Schizosaccharomyces pombe: one gene and its partner. Changing the gene in region 2 together with the main gene of any one other region gives a genetic interaction. Each region holds a gene or a part of one and is shown on either strand. Other genes may lie near its edges.

What was found.
Region 1: of erh1 (region 2) and rad21, a mutation in one rescues a mutant of the other (synthetic rescue), as found in Schizosaccharomyces pombe (2 studies listed by BioGRID).

The regions. Positions count from the first base shown.
Region 1 is NC_003421.2:1,337,277-1,347,413, reverse strand, and holds rad21 (mitotic cohesin complex non-SMC subunit Rad21), read right to left. Parts: upstream 4,522-10,137; 5' UTR 4,323-4,521; coding exon 4,290-4,322; exon of another isoform or gene 4,210-4,289; coding exon 2,356-4,209; 3' UTR 2,021-2,355; downstream 1-2,020. Other genes in the region: F-box protein Pof3, read left to right, coding at 287-2,020; SPOM_SPCC338.18 (uncharacterized protein), read left to right, coding at 5,792-6,145. UniProt on the Schizosaccharomyces pombe protein: Cleavable component of the cohesin complex, involved in chromosome cohesion during cell cycle. The cohesin complex is required for the cohesion of sister chromatids after DNA replication.
Region 2 is NC_003424.3:4,061,659-4,069,031, forward strand, and holds erh1 (protein erh1), read right to left. Parts: upstream 5,314-7,373; coding exon 5,285-5,313; intron 5,201-5,284; coding exon 5,179-5,200; intron 5,161-5,178; exon of another isoform or gene 5,128-5,160; coding exon 5,070-5,127; exon of another isoform or gene 4,995-5,069; coding exon 4,965-4,994; exon of another isoform or gene 4,834-4,964; coding exon 4,729-4,833; exon of another isoform or gene 4,671-4,728; coding exon 4,600-4,670; downstream 1-4,599. Other genes in the region: cpy1 (vacuolar carboxypeptidase Y), read right to left, coding at 1-2,860; ubiquinone biosynthesis protein Coq9, read left to right, coding at 5,776-6,528; decaprenyl diphosphate synthase subunit 2 Dlp1, read left to right, coding at 7,098-7,373.

The DNA of each region.
Region 1 (10,137 bases), on a different chromosome or scaffold from region 2:
TAACAAATAAGTAGATACTTTTTTTTCCAAACTTTTGGTTACATGCTTATTATTAGTATTTTTGCACATTCAATTTCTGTTTAAATGAAATTTGAAGGCGCTAGCTTTAACTATCCTTTAACAATTCTAACTTACTCCATAAAGCTTGCGACTACGAAAGCATAATATATACCTCAAAAAGGATATCGAGGTTCTTAAAATACGGTTCATTGGAAGCTATATGGGAGGTTTATGTTTATGTATAGAAAAAATAAATCGTTGGGTATAGAAATTAAGATTTGGATTCATGAATAACTATCAAGTAAAAGCAATAAAGGAGAAGACCCAGCAATATCTCTCTAAAAGGAAGTTTGAAGATGCATTGACATTCATTACTAAAACCATCGAACAGGAGCCCAATCCTACGATTGACTTGTTTGAACTAAGGGCTCAAGTTTACGAAAAGTCAGGTCAATACTCACAAGCAGAACTTGATGCTAAACGGATGATTCATTTGAATGCAAGAAATGCTAGAGGTTACCTACGCTTGGGAAAACTTTTACAGCTTGACGGCTTTGATAAGAAAGCAGATCAATTGTATACGCAAGGCCTGCGAATGGTGCATAAAATGGATCCCTTGAGACCGGTATTAAAAAAAGTAAGCCAAAGATTGAATGAAAGAATTCTTCGGACCAGGCCGGTACTAGATTTGTTTCGCATTCTTCCCCGAGAAGTCCTATTATGTATTCTACAGCAACTAAATTTCAAAAGTATTGTTCAGTGTATGCAAGTCTGCAAACACTGGAGAGACTGTATTAAGAAAGAACCTAGCTTATTTTGTTGCTTAGACTTTTCATGCGCCTCTCCTCGAAGTGTAAACTCTAGAGATCGAAACGTTATGGCTGTTGCTCGATACTCTGTTTATTCAAAAGACAATATACAGGAAGTAATTGGCTTAGAGAAGCTTGGTATATTAACACCTACCAAAGCCTTACTTCGTTCAGTCAAATCACTTAAAGTCTACAAAACCATTTCACCTCTCCACACTCAGTCAACGGATAAATTGTATACAATTTGGACGCCATTTTCTGAACTTCACTACTTTTATTGTGCTACTCCTATAACATTTTCCATAGCTTCTAAGATTTTATCTTGCTGTAAGAAACTCAAGCAGGTTGAGCTTGTTGACTTAATTCCCGATTTGATATTTGATTCTATGGATTGGGATAAACTCTTTAATGCAGAATCTGTACCGCTGGCTCTTAAATCTTTGACGTTTATCCGAAATCAAAAGTTTCCCTTTCACCATAAAGAACAGCAATTTCTTAAAGACTTGCTGTCTGCCAGTCCATATTTAGAATATCTGGAAGCCTCATATCAGTCAGACCTAGTTGCTGCAATAAAAAAATATAAAATTAATCTCCGATCGTTAATTATCATTGATGAAGGAGTATCGAATACTGTTAAAGATCTAGCATTCCTTCCTCAATCTCTTACCACGTTAATTGTGAAACCCTGCAATCCTGCATCTACAATTTTATGTCCATATTTATTCCCTACAAATGTCCGGATGGAATCACTAATCAACTTAGAGTTATTTCTTTATCTTCGTTTATCTCAAAATGATATCGATAATGTTGTCAAATTTTTGACTTCTTGTTACAAACTAAAAAAGCTGGTTCTACACGATTCGCTAGCATTGGCCCCCCATTTCTTTGAAATATTTGCATCTTTACCGGAACTTGAGCATCTTGAGATTCCTGATAACGTTGCTCTTCAAAATAAGCATGCAATACACATTACTGATTGTTGTCCAAATCTAAAGTATGTGAACTTTTCAAATTCAATATCCCTCGATGGATCGGGATTTATAGCAGTTTTACGAGGACTGAAAGAATTAAAACGTATAGATATTATTAATTGTGATTCTGTTTCTAGAGATGCAATAGATTGGGCGCGCTCCAAAGGTATGCAAGTTACCGTAGCTTCCTCGCTTCCAAATTCTCAACCATTGGGTACAAAAAAGATACGCCTAATATAATATGATCATATTGTCTTTATATATTCAATCCTAGTAAACCCGTATCATCGCATTGAAAGGAAGATTTTTAAGAGATAGATCAATCATTGAGAATAAATTAAAAAGCGCGTAAGCTATTTCTAATCATAACTTTGTGTTGAGCTGATAATATTACATACATCCAACAGTAATATCGTAACTCGGAAAAAGAAAGACATACAACTCGTGATTCCAAAAATAAAATAAAGATAAAAGAAAGCAATGAACAATATTACTGTCATAAAAATCTATTTCGTGTAAGTATTCACACTTATTTATAGATCTAATTGGATTTTGAAAAAATATTAACCGACCTCTCATAGTGATGAAAGTAGCATTCCACGTTTAGCAGTAAGCGTGATTTCGTTCTGAATGGCAACATCCTGCTTGACAGATATAACATCCTTCGTCGCTAAAACGAGGACATCAAAGAAAAGTTGAACAGCTTCCTCTCTATTGCATCCCGCACTAAGAGTTTGGAAGGATACTTTTTCACCTTCAGTATAAGGATCCCACTTATTGCGTAGAGAATCTTTGGCTGTTTGTGAACTAGGAAGGGCCTCAGATACCGAAGAGTCCAATCGTTCGCTTCCCAGCAAATCGGCCTCGTCCAGCATTACGGGAGGAGCGTCAAAAAGTGAATCATCGGCTGATTCCAAGGCAGTAACAGGAAATCCCATTGGCGAACCAAGCTCAGGAGCTTCTCCTTCTGGTTGAACAACGGTTTCTTGTGGTAAAGTAGCGATAGCGGCTTCAGTAATGTTGGCAAGCTCAGCGGCTGCAATTTCTTCAGGGTCCAAGACTTCAGCAGTTTCTTGGTTTTCAGTTGAGGTATCAGTACGTTGGTGCTTGGCAGGCTCGACTTCCTCTGGGCTCTCATTTTTTCTCTTTCTTAGAATTGCCTGTTTGAAATCAGCTTGCAAAAGCTCGTTTACTTTAGGGTTCAGGTTGGAAGAAAATATGGAAGTATTAAATTTACCGTTTCGAGTAAAATTAACGGTGGCATTAAACACGATGGAAGATGTATTCAAGCATAACGGTGAGGTGATGGAAGATGTATCTGCCAATTGTTTTTTCATTTGCTTGGAGGACAATTCAGTAACGGGATCAATAATTGCACGTTGACGACGTACAGTTTTCTGTGGATTGATCTTTTCCTGTTGAGGAGCAGTGGCGCTTTCAACAACCTGACCTTCCTCTACTCCTGCTGCTGCAGGACGAGATGAATCATCTTCCATAATGTCAGAAGGGAGATGAATACTTGATGTTTCAGCTTGTTCATCAGCCTCTATCGCCGGAGCATTAGCACCTTGTTCATCTCCTAAAAGATCATCTAAGCCCAAATCCAGGTTTAAATCATCAACAGGAGCCAACAATTCATCATCCAATGAAGTTCCTCCTATTGGTAGCATGCTTGGCGTACTAAAATGAGTGACTGAACTAGCCGGCGACTTAGTCATTTGAGGCCCAATAATTCCACTTAAATCGGTGGCAGCAGCAGCAGGAGCATCTCTACCTACTTCTATAGAAATTTGGGACTGATTATCAGAGTGCACACTTCTAGGTGTAGCAGCACCGGAATTTGAAATGGGAAGATGAAACTGCATATCATTGCCAACATGTGCGAATGATTCGCCCAAGGAAAACCCTGATTCTACTTGGGCATTTCGTCCAGCCTCAATTGATAGCTGGGAAGATGGAAAAGAAGGAGAGGAAGATATTGGTAAAGAATGTAGTTCAAGAGTGTTCGAAGAACGAGAGGGTGTACGAAGAAGTTGAGACCATTGAAAATCAAATGTACTATCAGGTACCAAAAGATCAAACTCTGTAATTGTCTCAGGAAGAGTGAGATTAGCGCTCTGTGTCACAGCATCTTTACCTTTTAAAGATTGGAGAGCAGTAGCTGGTTCAATCATATCAACCTGACCCGGTTGAAAGGACATTTTCAAACGCATCAACGCTTCCGTACAATCCTCCAATAAATACCTAGCCTTTCTGGAATAAATGCGAACAACACCCAACATTAGTTGTCCTGATAGGCGAAGGGCCATTGGAGCGGTTTCCTCCGTGACAATTGCATGGACGCTTTGCTCAATACTGGTGTGCAAAGTTTGCACTTTGGAAAGTTTCTTTTCCCAGTGAGCTGCCAACCATACCTTGGCCAAAGGACCCTAACGCGAACAGTTAGTCAGACGATTCAAAGACAAATTAGCACTGTTTACGCGCTAAAGAAAACTTATAAACTACATACCTTTTTTGAAAGAATGGCCTCTGAATAGAACATAAGAAGCTTAATATGATTAGGAGAAAAAGATAGAAAGAAATTAAAGAGTAAAGACAAAAAAAAGAGGGGAATCAAAAAAGAACAAAAATAAACAAAAAATTAATAAATATTAAAATGAAAGAAATGCTTTCTTTCGCAAAATTCGCCTCCTCACTACGATATAAGCTGGGTATTTGTAAAAATGAATATACGTGGTGCTGGTTAAATGAGTACGCGCTGCGCGTAAATAAATCCACGTTGCCATGCCGACAATGAATATGATACATAAACAAACTAGTATGTGTAGCAACAAATAGTTAAATAAATGAATAAAAAAAGCTTGTATTGAAGTTAGAAACTGTTGAGCATGATCAAGGGAATATGCTTCCTCGAAGAAGTTGATTTATCTTTGTTATATGCTTGTATGTTTCGGCCTACTAACTGTATTATAAAATGATGCGCTAGATTTACGTTCACATATGTGCATAGAAGGCAACAAAAGGCATTTGAATTATGTTATTCAATTAAAATAGTCATAAGACATAAGGGGATATGTTTTTCAATAAAACGGAAAACTCCGATTACAACCTTGTTTTAACAATCTTGAGTTAAATTTTGACCATCCTTATTTTGGAAGCATTATCCTTCCATTGAATACATTTATCAAATGAATTCCATTCATTAATTGCATCTTCAATGCCATTTTTTCTGTATGATTAAATAGACTCGTAAAAGGATGTTTTCATCCCATTTTAGTAATGTCAAAACACATTACATTAAACGAATATGTAATAGAAATTACCACGACTGAAAATTTATTTTATTTCTATTATATTATTGTCAAAATTAAAAGGTTGATTGTGACTCGTATGCCAGAAGAAGGTTAATGAATAAAAATACTTATAAAAATAAATAAATTTTTTTTTTTTGGGTAGGGTGTTTTTTTTTAACGATAAACCCCATCCAGATAAATTCGATAAACAAGCTAATTTATTTAAAAAATCAAACAAAAAATAGAAAAAGGAATAGACAAGAATTCCATCCATATTCGTCTAGCAAATTCGATTTTTCCATTTCCCAATAGTGGACACTGCGCAAAACAGTTCCCGTATGTTTTAGTGAAGGGGAATTCGAGTTTGACTGTTGGAAGAAGGCAATTCGCTCATAAATCATTTTAATAAATAAAATGAATGTATAGCATTATTTTCGCCTCTGCAGAAGTTTAATGTCATTGTTCATTGTTGGCAATATCCAATGTGGGGGAAGGCGTAAATAAAATGAATACGTATATGTTTCTAACCTTGATTCTTGACTTTTCCCAACAACGGTTCACTGACTTTAAAAGAGAAAAAGTATAAATTACTAAAGCAATTGTTACATTTAAATAGATTGCTAAGGACTATTGTCTAATAATACAACAGTTACCTTTATTAACGTTTATTTTTCTTTTGGAACACATTGAATATTAAACTAAATTGCCACAAAACAAAATGACTGAACAGAATATCGATATCAAAAGAGAATTGAAGGATGAATCTCCAATTGGGCAATCTCCACATCTAGAAAATGATGGTCGTCCTAGTCTTATGTCGCGCTATAGCTACTCGTCTATTGAAGAGGTATCCAAAGAGGGCTATCAATGGTTTAAACATCAAAGTGTATTTCTTAAATTTAGCCTAATTGTACTTTTATTCTCGTTGATGTTTAGTTTGACGTTTGGTTCGTTGCTTGGATTAATTAGCCTTGCTTTGGGCTTTCCTAGTGTGGGATATCGTTATGTGCTTCTGCCCATATTAAATGCATTATTGAACCGTTTAAGACTTAATTCCTCCGGTTTGAAGTAGTACGAAAAGCTTGATTTCTTTGGGTCTCCCGTTTCTGCTTTTTGTGTCCGAATTCAAAATGAATCATCATAAAAAGACAGTGTTCTTGTTTACCTGAAAGCGATGAGTAACTTACCCTGTTGTATCTTAGTTTACGACGATCCTTGTATAACGACTGGAAAATAAAAAAAAAAAGTCAAAAAACTGTGAATATAATAAAAAGTGATTTTTTACTTGTTTAAATTACAGCCTAACCTGTTGCAACCTTTCAATATTCTTTCCATCTTCAAAACTACTTACCCACCCTTACCTACTTGTTTTAACCGTGTCGCCATTTTTTAACTGCCAAAATTACGGGCGAAACTCCAATACCACATATTCCCTTTTATTAATTTATTTAGCAATTATGATTTAATACAAATTATCTTTAAGATCTTCAAGCTCCTTTTGTTACTAAAGTTACGTTTTGCTTGATAGGCCTAAGTGAGTTTATCTTCATCTGATAAGAAGATAGCACTTTATTCTCCAGAGGATTCTGACTATTTCAAAAAATGCACAATTATTAGCAGTGCCTATTACTCTTTGTTATGCCTTTTATATTGAACGAATTATTGAATAATCATGACTATAAATCTAAAATATACCGTATTTGCTGATTTTAATAGTATACTTTTCCCTAGAGACCCAGCTTTTTTAGTTAAACATTAAGACTATAAACAAAAACAGGCTTTTACTAATAGCTCGACGTACATTATTTGGGTTAAGAATTCTTGATGCAGTTAGATGCAGAGATGGTTTTTTTTAAGCCATAAACGTTCATCTTGTAACCCTTGATTGTTTTTTTGATGGATTCTAATGTGCTTGAGTGCGTTATATGTTTAACCATTTTAACATATGAGTGTAGATGGAGGTTGAGCCAATATGTATAAAAATAGACATTTCTGCTGGACTTGAGTTCGACTCCAAAATTCTTTCAACACGTAACTCACATTGCCGCGATTACCTTGTAACCTACAAAAAATACTCAATGCTACATGGTCCTTCAGTTGGCAAAATGTATTGAGAAACCCTACAGTTCCTTTTCTTAAGCAAGCTGCTTAATTGAGCCTGCTACAGAGAGTCGTACCCATACCATACCCATGTACGCTATATCAGCCCACTACATATTAGTGCAACCAATATCATGGATGAAACAACTATGATTTCGCGGATGTTTTAGCACAGCAATTATCACTTAAAATCTATACCCAGATATCCTTTTGTTTTCCAATAGTCGATGATGATTCCTCACATTCAGCAATTATTGAGACGCTGACAAATGGACTTGAGCGTCTGTCAGCCAGTTTTCCGTGGCTAGCTGGTCAGGTTGTTCACGAAAGTTCAGAAGGAAAAAGCTTTAATATATTCAAGATTAAACCGTATGAGAAAACGCCTCCTTTCTTTGTCAAAGATCTTCAGCATGTCCCTTCTATACCCTCCATGGACGCGCTCAGAAAAGCCGATTTTCCTTTCAGTATGCTGAACGAAAGTATTTTCGCACCTCGCAAAACGATTCCAGGAGATCCTGATGAACAAACGTTAGGCTCAGATCCAGTTTTCCTTGTCCAAGCCAGTTTCATCACTGGTGGTCTCGTGCTTACGTTTGTCGGTCAGCACAATGCAATGGATATGACCGGCCAAGGTTAGGTTATCAACCTCTTTTCTAAAGCTTGTTGCAATGAACCATTTACTAGCGATGGTAACCTTCCCCGTTACAACCTTATCCCTTTACTCGAAGACTCTTACGAACCAGGTTCTGAGATGGATCATTTCATTTTGAAGTCACCTCCTTTTTATTCCGAACTTGAAAGCGTTGATAAATCACATCCTCCTCCTCCTAAATGTATTTGGAGTTACTTTTGCTTCGACCATAACTCACTCACCGCTCTTAAAACACTGGCTACAAAAACTCTCCCCTCGTCGTTTGCCTCAGAATATATATCCACCGACGATTCCCTTACCACATTCGTCTGGTAAGCCATTATTCGCTGCTGCATTTCTCGATTGAACCCTACAGCCACATCCACACTTTGTCGTGCTGTTGATGTACGGCAGTACTGCAATATTTCACCAACGTATCCAGGACTAATGCTTAACATGAAGTCACAGAGATGTGTAATTGAAGAGTTGATGAAGGAGCCTTTGGGTGGCCTTGCATCGAAGCTTCGTTCAGCTTTGGATCCAAAAACACGGGCTTATGAATCGAGTGCACTTGCGACTTTAATTCATCGTAGTCCAAATAAAAATCTAATCTCCTTTTGCTCAAACCTTGATCCAAATACCGATATTGCTTTGAGTTCATGGGCTAAGTTGAATAGTTATGAGCTTGAGTTTAACCTAGGATTGGGAAAACCAGAGGCTGTACGGAGACCCCAGTTTATCCCGATAGAGGGCTTGATTTACTTTATGCCGAAAGACTTGGAAGGTGGAATTACAGTTGCTATTTGTTTAAGGGAGGAGGACATGAAGAAATTGAGAATTGATGAAGAGTTCTCTAAGTATGCGAAATACATCGGATAGCTGCAACGTTATTAAAAAACCAGAGGACACGGTGCTATTGGGAAACAATGCGTGATAGTGTGTAAATTTATATTCGGTTGATTTTTTTTTTTAAAGTCATCGTAATGACTCAACTTGACCACAATATCAATTGAGAACTTATAATTACTTTCTTTTATTTTTTGATACAAGTTTTAAGAACTCTTAATAAAATATCAACAACTATTCTATTTTTTGAGTCGATGTCTATGATTAATGCTACTCCCAATCGACTTACTCATTATTAAGAAATATGAGCGTAAAGTAGATATTGAATCATTAAATAATTTTTAGATTTACAGTTTTAAGGAATTTTGATTCTAAAAAATTTCATTTTCCTTTTCTAGTAAACTTCAAGCTTTTCTCCAATCCTTTACATTTGTAAAATTCGAATATTTTTAACATATAGTAACATATCACTATATCAGGATAGTGTATTGTACATTATCATTCATTATTTGATAAATAAAATAGGGGCCATACATAAATGGTAATGAGTAGACAGGTAGGCCAATCAAGATATATAAAGACAATTTCTTTCTTTCTATAAAAAGTAATAGGTATATTAGAAATGAAGTGCTAATGACTATGAAAAGCTGATCGAAATCTAAACAGTACTAACATTGAGGCTCAAATTACGCATGGATGTACCAGTTATTCCTAGATATAAAGTATCACACTTGGAAAAATTAGCGTATTCTAACGTCTTCGTGAATTGTACGCTAGTTCATCTACTAAAAAAATATTGAAATTTAAATCACATATTTCAGAAACTTCTTTTATATTTTAATTCTCTATTGAAAGATTTTAAGAAGAATTATGCGTTTAAACACACTTTTGATTAAGTTCTACAGAATACGTTTGTGTATGCATAAATAGTGTGTGCTAACTTATTAAGGCTAACACTTATCAACGCGAAAATATTTCTCCCACTTCACAACACATCTCTAAAACCCTCAAGCAGCTTCTGATTTTAAAATTCATAATAGCGTATAAAAATGATGAATAATATTTCAACAATTGATAAGTCCTTAATATCACAAACACATTAGAGCCTAAACAAATATTTTAAACTCTTCATCGTCAAATCCTAAAATTTACGGAAATAACGCGTCCAATTGTGAATAACTCATGTTTCACAAAGCTTTACTTGTTCTCAGTTATTAAAAACTTAAAACTCCATTCTTAGCTGGTCTGTGTAGTAAGACTTTAAAGCTGCAAGCCTTTTTTCGTGTATTCAGCATGATTAAGTCACAGAACTCAAAACAATATATGGAGCATTAAACACTATTTAAATTTGCCAAGAAATTCTAGGTTTTGAATTAATGCTACTGTTTATCCCATGTCTAGTAACTCGATGAAAAAAATGTTTGACATTAAAACCCCAGAAACTTTTGGTAGCTATAAGGAAAAAAATTTAATAAGCGGCGTTAAAA
Region 2 (7,373 bases):
GACTCCAAGGCTTCAATTCGGCCTCATAAAACTCACGTTGACCAGCCCACTCAAGTGCGTCGGTCCAAGCTTCATTGCCCATGTAATTGCAAATGTAGTCAGCATCACCGGCATAGATAAGAACGGGTAGGCCAGCTTCTAAGATTGCGGTGACATCGTCACGGAAAGTCTTACGCATCCAGTCACCCTTGAAAAGGAAACCAATGTTTACTTCAGTATTGCATCCCTTGTAATCGTATTCAACTCCCAAAGCTTCTTGAACAAATTCTTGGTTCAAGTAACTCTCAATTGCACCGGTTTCGGGGTAGCATAAGTGCTCTTGGTCACGGCATTCTTCACGAATATCATAAATGTTGAGTCCAGTCTTAGTAAATGGTCCAATCATAGCGTTATTGCAATACAAAGAGGCACCAATGCAAACAGGAGTAAAGCCAGTCTGGTAACAGCCAGTGATTAGCTTAGCGCAGGTATCATAGGCACCAGTAATGCGATCACATTCCTCTTGGGACATAATAGGACCGTAAGGGCTCTCGCAAGCCATTTTTCCGTAAAAGTAGTATTGGACCAAAGGATCAGTCAAACCATTTCCAATCAAGACACTCTTCAAATTGATGTATTGCTTCTCCATTTCATAGCCGCTGGCAACAAAGAAGTTAGCACCTTGGTTATGCTCCATAATTTCCTTGGCAAACTGGGGGATGTAATGGCCAGCATAGGATTCACCAGCAATGTGAAAGTCCAAATGAGCGTACTGAGGGAACTTGGCAAAGAAAAGGTTCAAGAATGCATAAACATCCTTACCAGCCGTAACAGTGTCAAGAACCGAGTCATCTCCGTTGCTGAAACCCGTGTTGATAGGTTGATCCAAAAAGATAACTGAAGCATTGGAGTTCCAACTGTGAGGGTTATATTCGGGTTTAAGAGTCTCAATGTTGATTGAAGAAGGACCTAATTCCATGAACAAACCAGTAAGGGAAGAGCAACCAGGACCACCGTTCAACCACAACACGACGGGATCATTCTCGGGATCATTTCTAGATTCAAAGAACCAGAAGAAAAGATGTCTGTCATCTTCGACATCTAAGTAACCGGTGTATTGCTTAACAGTGTCAATACCAAGTGATTCAGGTTTGGAATCTTTAACGCGAAGAGTGTGATCAGGGAAAGCCTTTAAATTTACATGTTCACCATTCTCTTCTTGTGAAAAAACAGCGTAGGGACGTGAAGAATCAGCAGGTTGAGCATTAGATGGCTTAGCAGGATGACTCTGGTCACGGAAAGCAGTCATAGGATCAATACCTTCAGCCTTGAGCATTTCAAGGTAGGCAAATTGTTCAGGAGTGAGATCACTCAACTCCAAATCATCGTCGAATTCAAATAGGGGGGGAATTGATGAATCCTTTGGGGCATTTTCTTGAATATGTACAGGAATGTTACCATAGTATTCAATACCAAGAGTGTCTAAAAAGCGAGAAAACTCTTCGGCAATTTCTTCAACAGGAACAGAATTGATGAGGTCAGCGAAAGCCTCAATGACCAAAAGCTCATGAGAACTTTGCATGTTTTGCTCAGGACGTTCGTTGTGCTTCTCCTTAGGTCCTTGATGGTGCTCCTTGTCCTTAGGTCCCTTGTGGTGCTCCTTGTCCTTAGGTCCCTTGTGGTGCTCCTTATCCTTAGGTCCCTTATGGTGCTCCTTATCCTTAGGTCCCTTATGGTGCTCCTTATCCTTAGGTCCCTTATGGTGCTCCTTATCCTTGGGTCCCTTATGGTGTTCCTTGTCCTCAGGTCCACGATGATGCTCAGGACCTTCATGCTCCTCAAGCTCATGGTGTTTGAAAGGAGGAGGAGGCATGTGCTCTCCAGGCTCGTGATGCATAGGAGGAGGAGGCATGTGCTCTCCAGGCTCGTGATGCATAGGAGGAGGAGGCATGTGCTCTCCAGGTTCGTGGTGCATAGGAGGAGGAGGCATGTGCTCTCCAGGTTCGTGGTGCATAGGAGGAGGAGGCATGTGCTCTCCAGGCTCGTGATGCATAGGAGGAGGAGGCATGTGCTCTCCAGGTTCGTGGTGCATAGGAGGAGGAGGCATGTGCTCTCCAGGTTCGTGGTGCATAGGAGGAGGAGGCATGTGCTCTCCAGGTTCGTGGTGCATAGGAGGAGGAGGCATGTGCTCTCCAGGTTCGTGGTGCATAGGAGGAGGAGGCATGTGCTCACCGGGCTTGTGGTGCATAGGAGGAGGAGGCATGTGCTCACCAGGCTCGTGATGAGCAGGGAACTCTCGATCCTCATCGTCAAATTCATGATGCTTGGGACGCTCGTCATCAAAGAAAACAGAGTCATCCTCGGGTTTAGGGTGAGACTTCTTTCCCTTTCCCTTAGCATGTTTACCCTTATGGTGCTTTCCTTTTCCTTTGCATTTACCGTGCTTTCTGCGGGGAGCATCCTCATCAGCTGAGTCATGAGGGCGCTTCTCGCGAACGTGTTCATCCTCATCATCGTCAAAGATATTGTCGAGACGATCAGAAACGGTGTGAAGGAAATCACGAGCAGGCTGAAGGAAAGAGTCAAGCTTGTCTTTAAATCCAGGGTGTTCTAAGGCAGTATCATCTTCAAAGTCATCATTAAACTCGTGATGACCCTTGGGGTGATGAGGAGCCTCAGCTTCATCACGCTCGGGAACGGGATTCATAAGAGGAGCAGAGCTTTCCTCTTGCTCACGGATGAAATCCTCCCCAAATTTCTCGTAAAAATCTTTGGGAACGACGATATCACCACCATTTTGCTCAGGAGGAACATAACCGTTAAACTGAGCGGATACGACGCAAGTGAGCAAAAAGTACAAGAAGGTTTGTTTCATTAACATCTTGTTTCAATGTACAGTATAGAAAGGAGAGAAACAAAAGGAAATGAAATATTCGTACAACAAGCTAACCAAATAGACCGAACTTCTCAAACAATCAATTGATAGATACAAATCTGTATGTACTGGATTAAAAAAGAAATTGCAAATTAGCCAAATCAGATAACTGTTAGGCAAAATGAGCTATATGGATAGATTAAAAAGAAAAATAAACAATGAGAAAAAGAATGTATTTAACTCAATGTCGATTGCGAAGCCTCACGTCTTACAGTGTGATTACAAGCACTAAAGGCAATGTGGATATCGCAATAAATAACTAGACAGAAAACCACAAAAAGTAGCAAATTCTTAAACAAACGTATTTACGATCGTTTTGCTGCTTTTCCCTCTTCAGATCACTTTACTGGTTCTAGGGTTCGATGGCGTTAATGTGTGCTTGGTTAAGGAGAAAAGTAAGCGGCAGGCAACAATCGCTATATATATGAAGGGTTAAGCATAAGTCCAGAAGCGTGACGCAGACGCCTCGCATGAATCATCATGTTCTAAGCCCCTTCGCAATCCTCCTTAGATATCGCTGCAAATACTTTACAATGTCTTTATACGCTAATAACGAAATATAATGAAAAAAGTAGCTTCGCTTGCAGTTAGCAAACAGGAAAATCACATCTGATAATATTTATTAAACAAAAAGAAAGGTAAACATGTGGATCAAGTTATTCTTAGTTGAATTATTGGATTCAATTAAACCTTAAACAGACAGTATAAAATATAAAAACACGCTCTTGTTATTAATTGTTTTGCAGTCATCAAGTACTTGACTAACTCTTTGCAGAAGCAATGGATATTTATCTTTGGAGAGTAAAATTGAGAAGCAAAGTACACAAAACTCAAGGTAGCAAATCTATAATGCCTAGACAATTATCTTGTATTGCTAGTTTGTGAAACAATGAATATGCATTCGCTTTATTGTGACTAATTCGTCCTGGTACGAATTGAAAAAGTAACTGGCCAAGCGGTTTCCGTGACAAAAATGGGTCAAAATACACAACATTATGTGATTTAGCTCCACTATACTAGGGCTATTCTTCTATAACCCGAGAACGTTGCTCGGCAAGTATACCGACATGATATATATACCTTATAATGTGTAGCAAAACTGGAAGGAGCGAGGGCGAAGATGAAAGCGATACAAAAAAAAACTATAAATAAATATATATATATAAAGAAATGTCAGCAAAGATCGAGTGTCTAGCAAGTACAAAAGTTTGTTTCTTCCGGTTTGACTACTTCAAACGAGGGCTTAGAAGTGGCTATGCTGTTTGTTTTACAGTTTCCCAGCACTGGAAATTAAAAAAAAGGGCAAAACAATACAATAGCGGCTGGCAAAACGGATGGAATTGGTCCTTTGTCTTGCACGAGGAAAAAACATGACAAGTAAAAAAAAAATTTGCAATTGGGTTTAAAAGTTAAGAGACAAATGCCATTTATTAGAACAATTAAATTTTATAAAAAAAGAATAGAAAAATAATTGTTAAAGATAGAATATAGCTAATGCATGATACAATAGAATTTGAACCTCTTAGAATATTGGTTGCTGATTCCAAAGGTGAAAAGCAGCTGCTAAAATGCCATTCCTAGTGCATTGATAAAGATTTTAATTTAGAAAAACTTAGTTCTATTTTTTCTTTGATTTTGAAATTTAAAGCATAGCAATGAGTAGCATAATATGGTGTTCGATATTTTTAAGGGATCTGTCTAGCAGCTGTGAGATATTCTTGAGCATGGTGTAACAACCATTGCTTTTCATGGGGAACTAATAGTAGAATTTATTAGTATCAAAATCAAACTGATAAATGAGAGAAACTGCTTACTATATGCACGAAAATGCCGATCGTATACCAAAGGAACGCAATCATAGATCTCGTCGAAAAAGTTGAAAAACCTTGAGACATCAATAGATTCCTTTTCGCTGACTGCTAAACATAAACGTCAGTCTAATGCAAGTTTTCATACGGTAAAGCTGAGTTTTCAATCCGGGACTTGGGAAAACATAGTTCATCGTCACTGAAATTTCCAACCAAAAAAGAAAAACAAAAATCGTACGTACCTTGATTTGTTTGGTAAACACCGACTATATCTAATATCACGTTAACAAATGATTTCCAATAAGTAGCGCATCCTCTACAAGGAGGACGAAAGATAATATTCATACACTCAATAGCAGAACGCAAGCTGCAATGGTCGCTCCATATACGAGTTTTTGGATCCGACTGATTAGGAGTTAGTGAAATCTTTAATTATCCTACAATCTAATGACATACTCCTTGTTGTATTAATAAAATGCTGTAAGCAAAATCTAGTTAGCGAATAGCCCTTGCATAGTGTACATAAGTGTCTTGAAGCTTTTCTGGCATTCGGGGAACATACATATGAGATTCTGCTGGTGGAGGCGACATTACGAGCCAAGTATTTTGAAGTATCTTCTGTTTTTATCGAGCAAGGATTAAGACCGCCTCTCAAACACACCGTCTAGCTTAATATCACCCTATTTTTATTTTCAATTTATCTGTTTGAAAATTATTTGCTATTGTCACACAAATTATTGTCAGAACGACTCTTTGTACTTTCAGGTGGGTAGCACAGTTATTGAGTAGCGATTTCGCTTTCCTTCTACAGTAGCATCCGTCACGCACTCTATCAGTTCGTTTACTTTGCAGTTCTCACAATTTAATATACTTCAAATATTATAATTATTTTTAGAAGTCATCTTCCAATCTTACTATATACTTTATCTAACTCGCTGATTTGAATAACTCGTAACACCTCTTTACCCATATCTCTTTCCTTCGAATTGCTTAGTGAAAGACCCTTTCTTTCTATTTTGTTTATTTTTCTGACTCTTTTTTTTATTTCTTTACATGTTGACTTTAAGAAGTGCTTGTCAGTTGACAACAAAAAACCTGGGACTTCATAAATGCATCTCCAAAACGGTCATTTCCGCTCTAGGAAGGAGAGGCTATCATAGTGAAAATTACGAAACCTCTAAGATATCCGGAAAGAAGGCTTTAATTTTAGAAAATGCTCTTGAACATGTTCCTCAACTGGGGTTCACGGAAGATGCAATCGTGCAAGGTGGTCAGGCCCTTGGCTATAGTAATCTCTCCAAGGCCCTCTTTCCTTCTGGTCCAATGGATTTGATTTCGTACTTTTTCCTGAAGCAGCGCTACGCTCTTAGTTCATTAAAGCCTCATTTGACCACTATCCCCGAAACATCTGGACGTGTTGTCCAGCTTATTTGGTCTCGTCTGCAAGGAAATAGGGATATTGTTCAGCATCTTCCGCAGATGATTGCAATTTGTACATACCCTTCAAACTTGCGAAAATCATTATCCTCTCTGGCTGAACTGTCAGATGAGATTCTTTACCTCGCGCAAGATAAGTCAGCCGATTTTCAATGGTACACGAAACGTGCTGCTATCTCTGCCATTTACTCTGCATCTGAGTTATTTATGAGTCGTGATACTTCTCCTAATTTTGAGGCGACTTATAACTTTGTTCAACATCGCATTCAACATGCAAAAGCCTTAAATGACTTACGCAACGATGTCTTGGAATGGGGTTCCTTTCAGCTGAATGCTGTGAGATCAATCCTTCGTTCAAGGGGAATTTAAAATTCACTGCTACTCCTTTTGCTTGTTGGTTTAACAAATCAGCTTGATTCAACTTTACGTTATGCAAGAAATAAATGCAATTTCATTTCCTACAATATTTAAGTTTTTTTGGCTAATTGTTTTCTCCATATATCGGTAGTTATTGTTGAATGTACTCTTTGATTCGAAACTTCATTTGAACAGTGTTTACCTTAAAAAAATCTATAGAAAAATCCTTATATATTCACGGGTTGATAACAAATTAACTTCAGTAAAACATTTAATAGAAACACACACTTTGACTAATGCTACCTTTACTACTTGTATATTCTGTTTTTTTACTACCTTGAACTTACTATTCTGACTCTTCCTGAGGTAACCTGTGACTTTGAAATAATTAGCTAAAACTGACAAGACACAGGCGTAGTTAAAGAACTCCAAAAATGAAAACATAGTAGCAATCAAAGCATCCCACTATTTTTTGTCTCTCGTTTCATTAGCGTTGTAAATTACTGATACCCTACTATACCTCTACAAGGCCTTTGTCATCTTTTTACTCAAGTGTGAAATCATCACTTATTGTATGAAGGATGAGCTTTCCGTTCGCTAGTTTGCTGAAAAGGCCTTCTGCAATAAGCTCTCTATTATCTTTAAAAAAACCTGGTTCCTGGTCTTCCATTCTGCTAAAAGCTGTAGGGGTTTTATCACGAGATTCCCGTTGGCATTCTGACTTATTAAAAATGCTTACAGAAGAAATGGATTCTTTAAATGGTCAAATTAATACGTGGACAGATAATAATCCTTTATTAGATGAAATTACGAAGCCATACAGAAAATCTTCAACTCGTTTTTTTCATCCGCTTCTT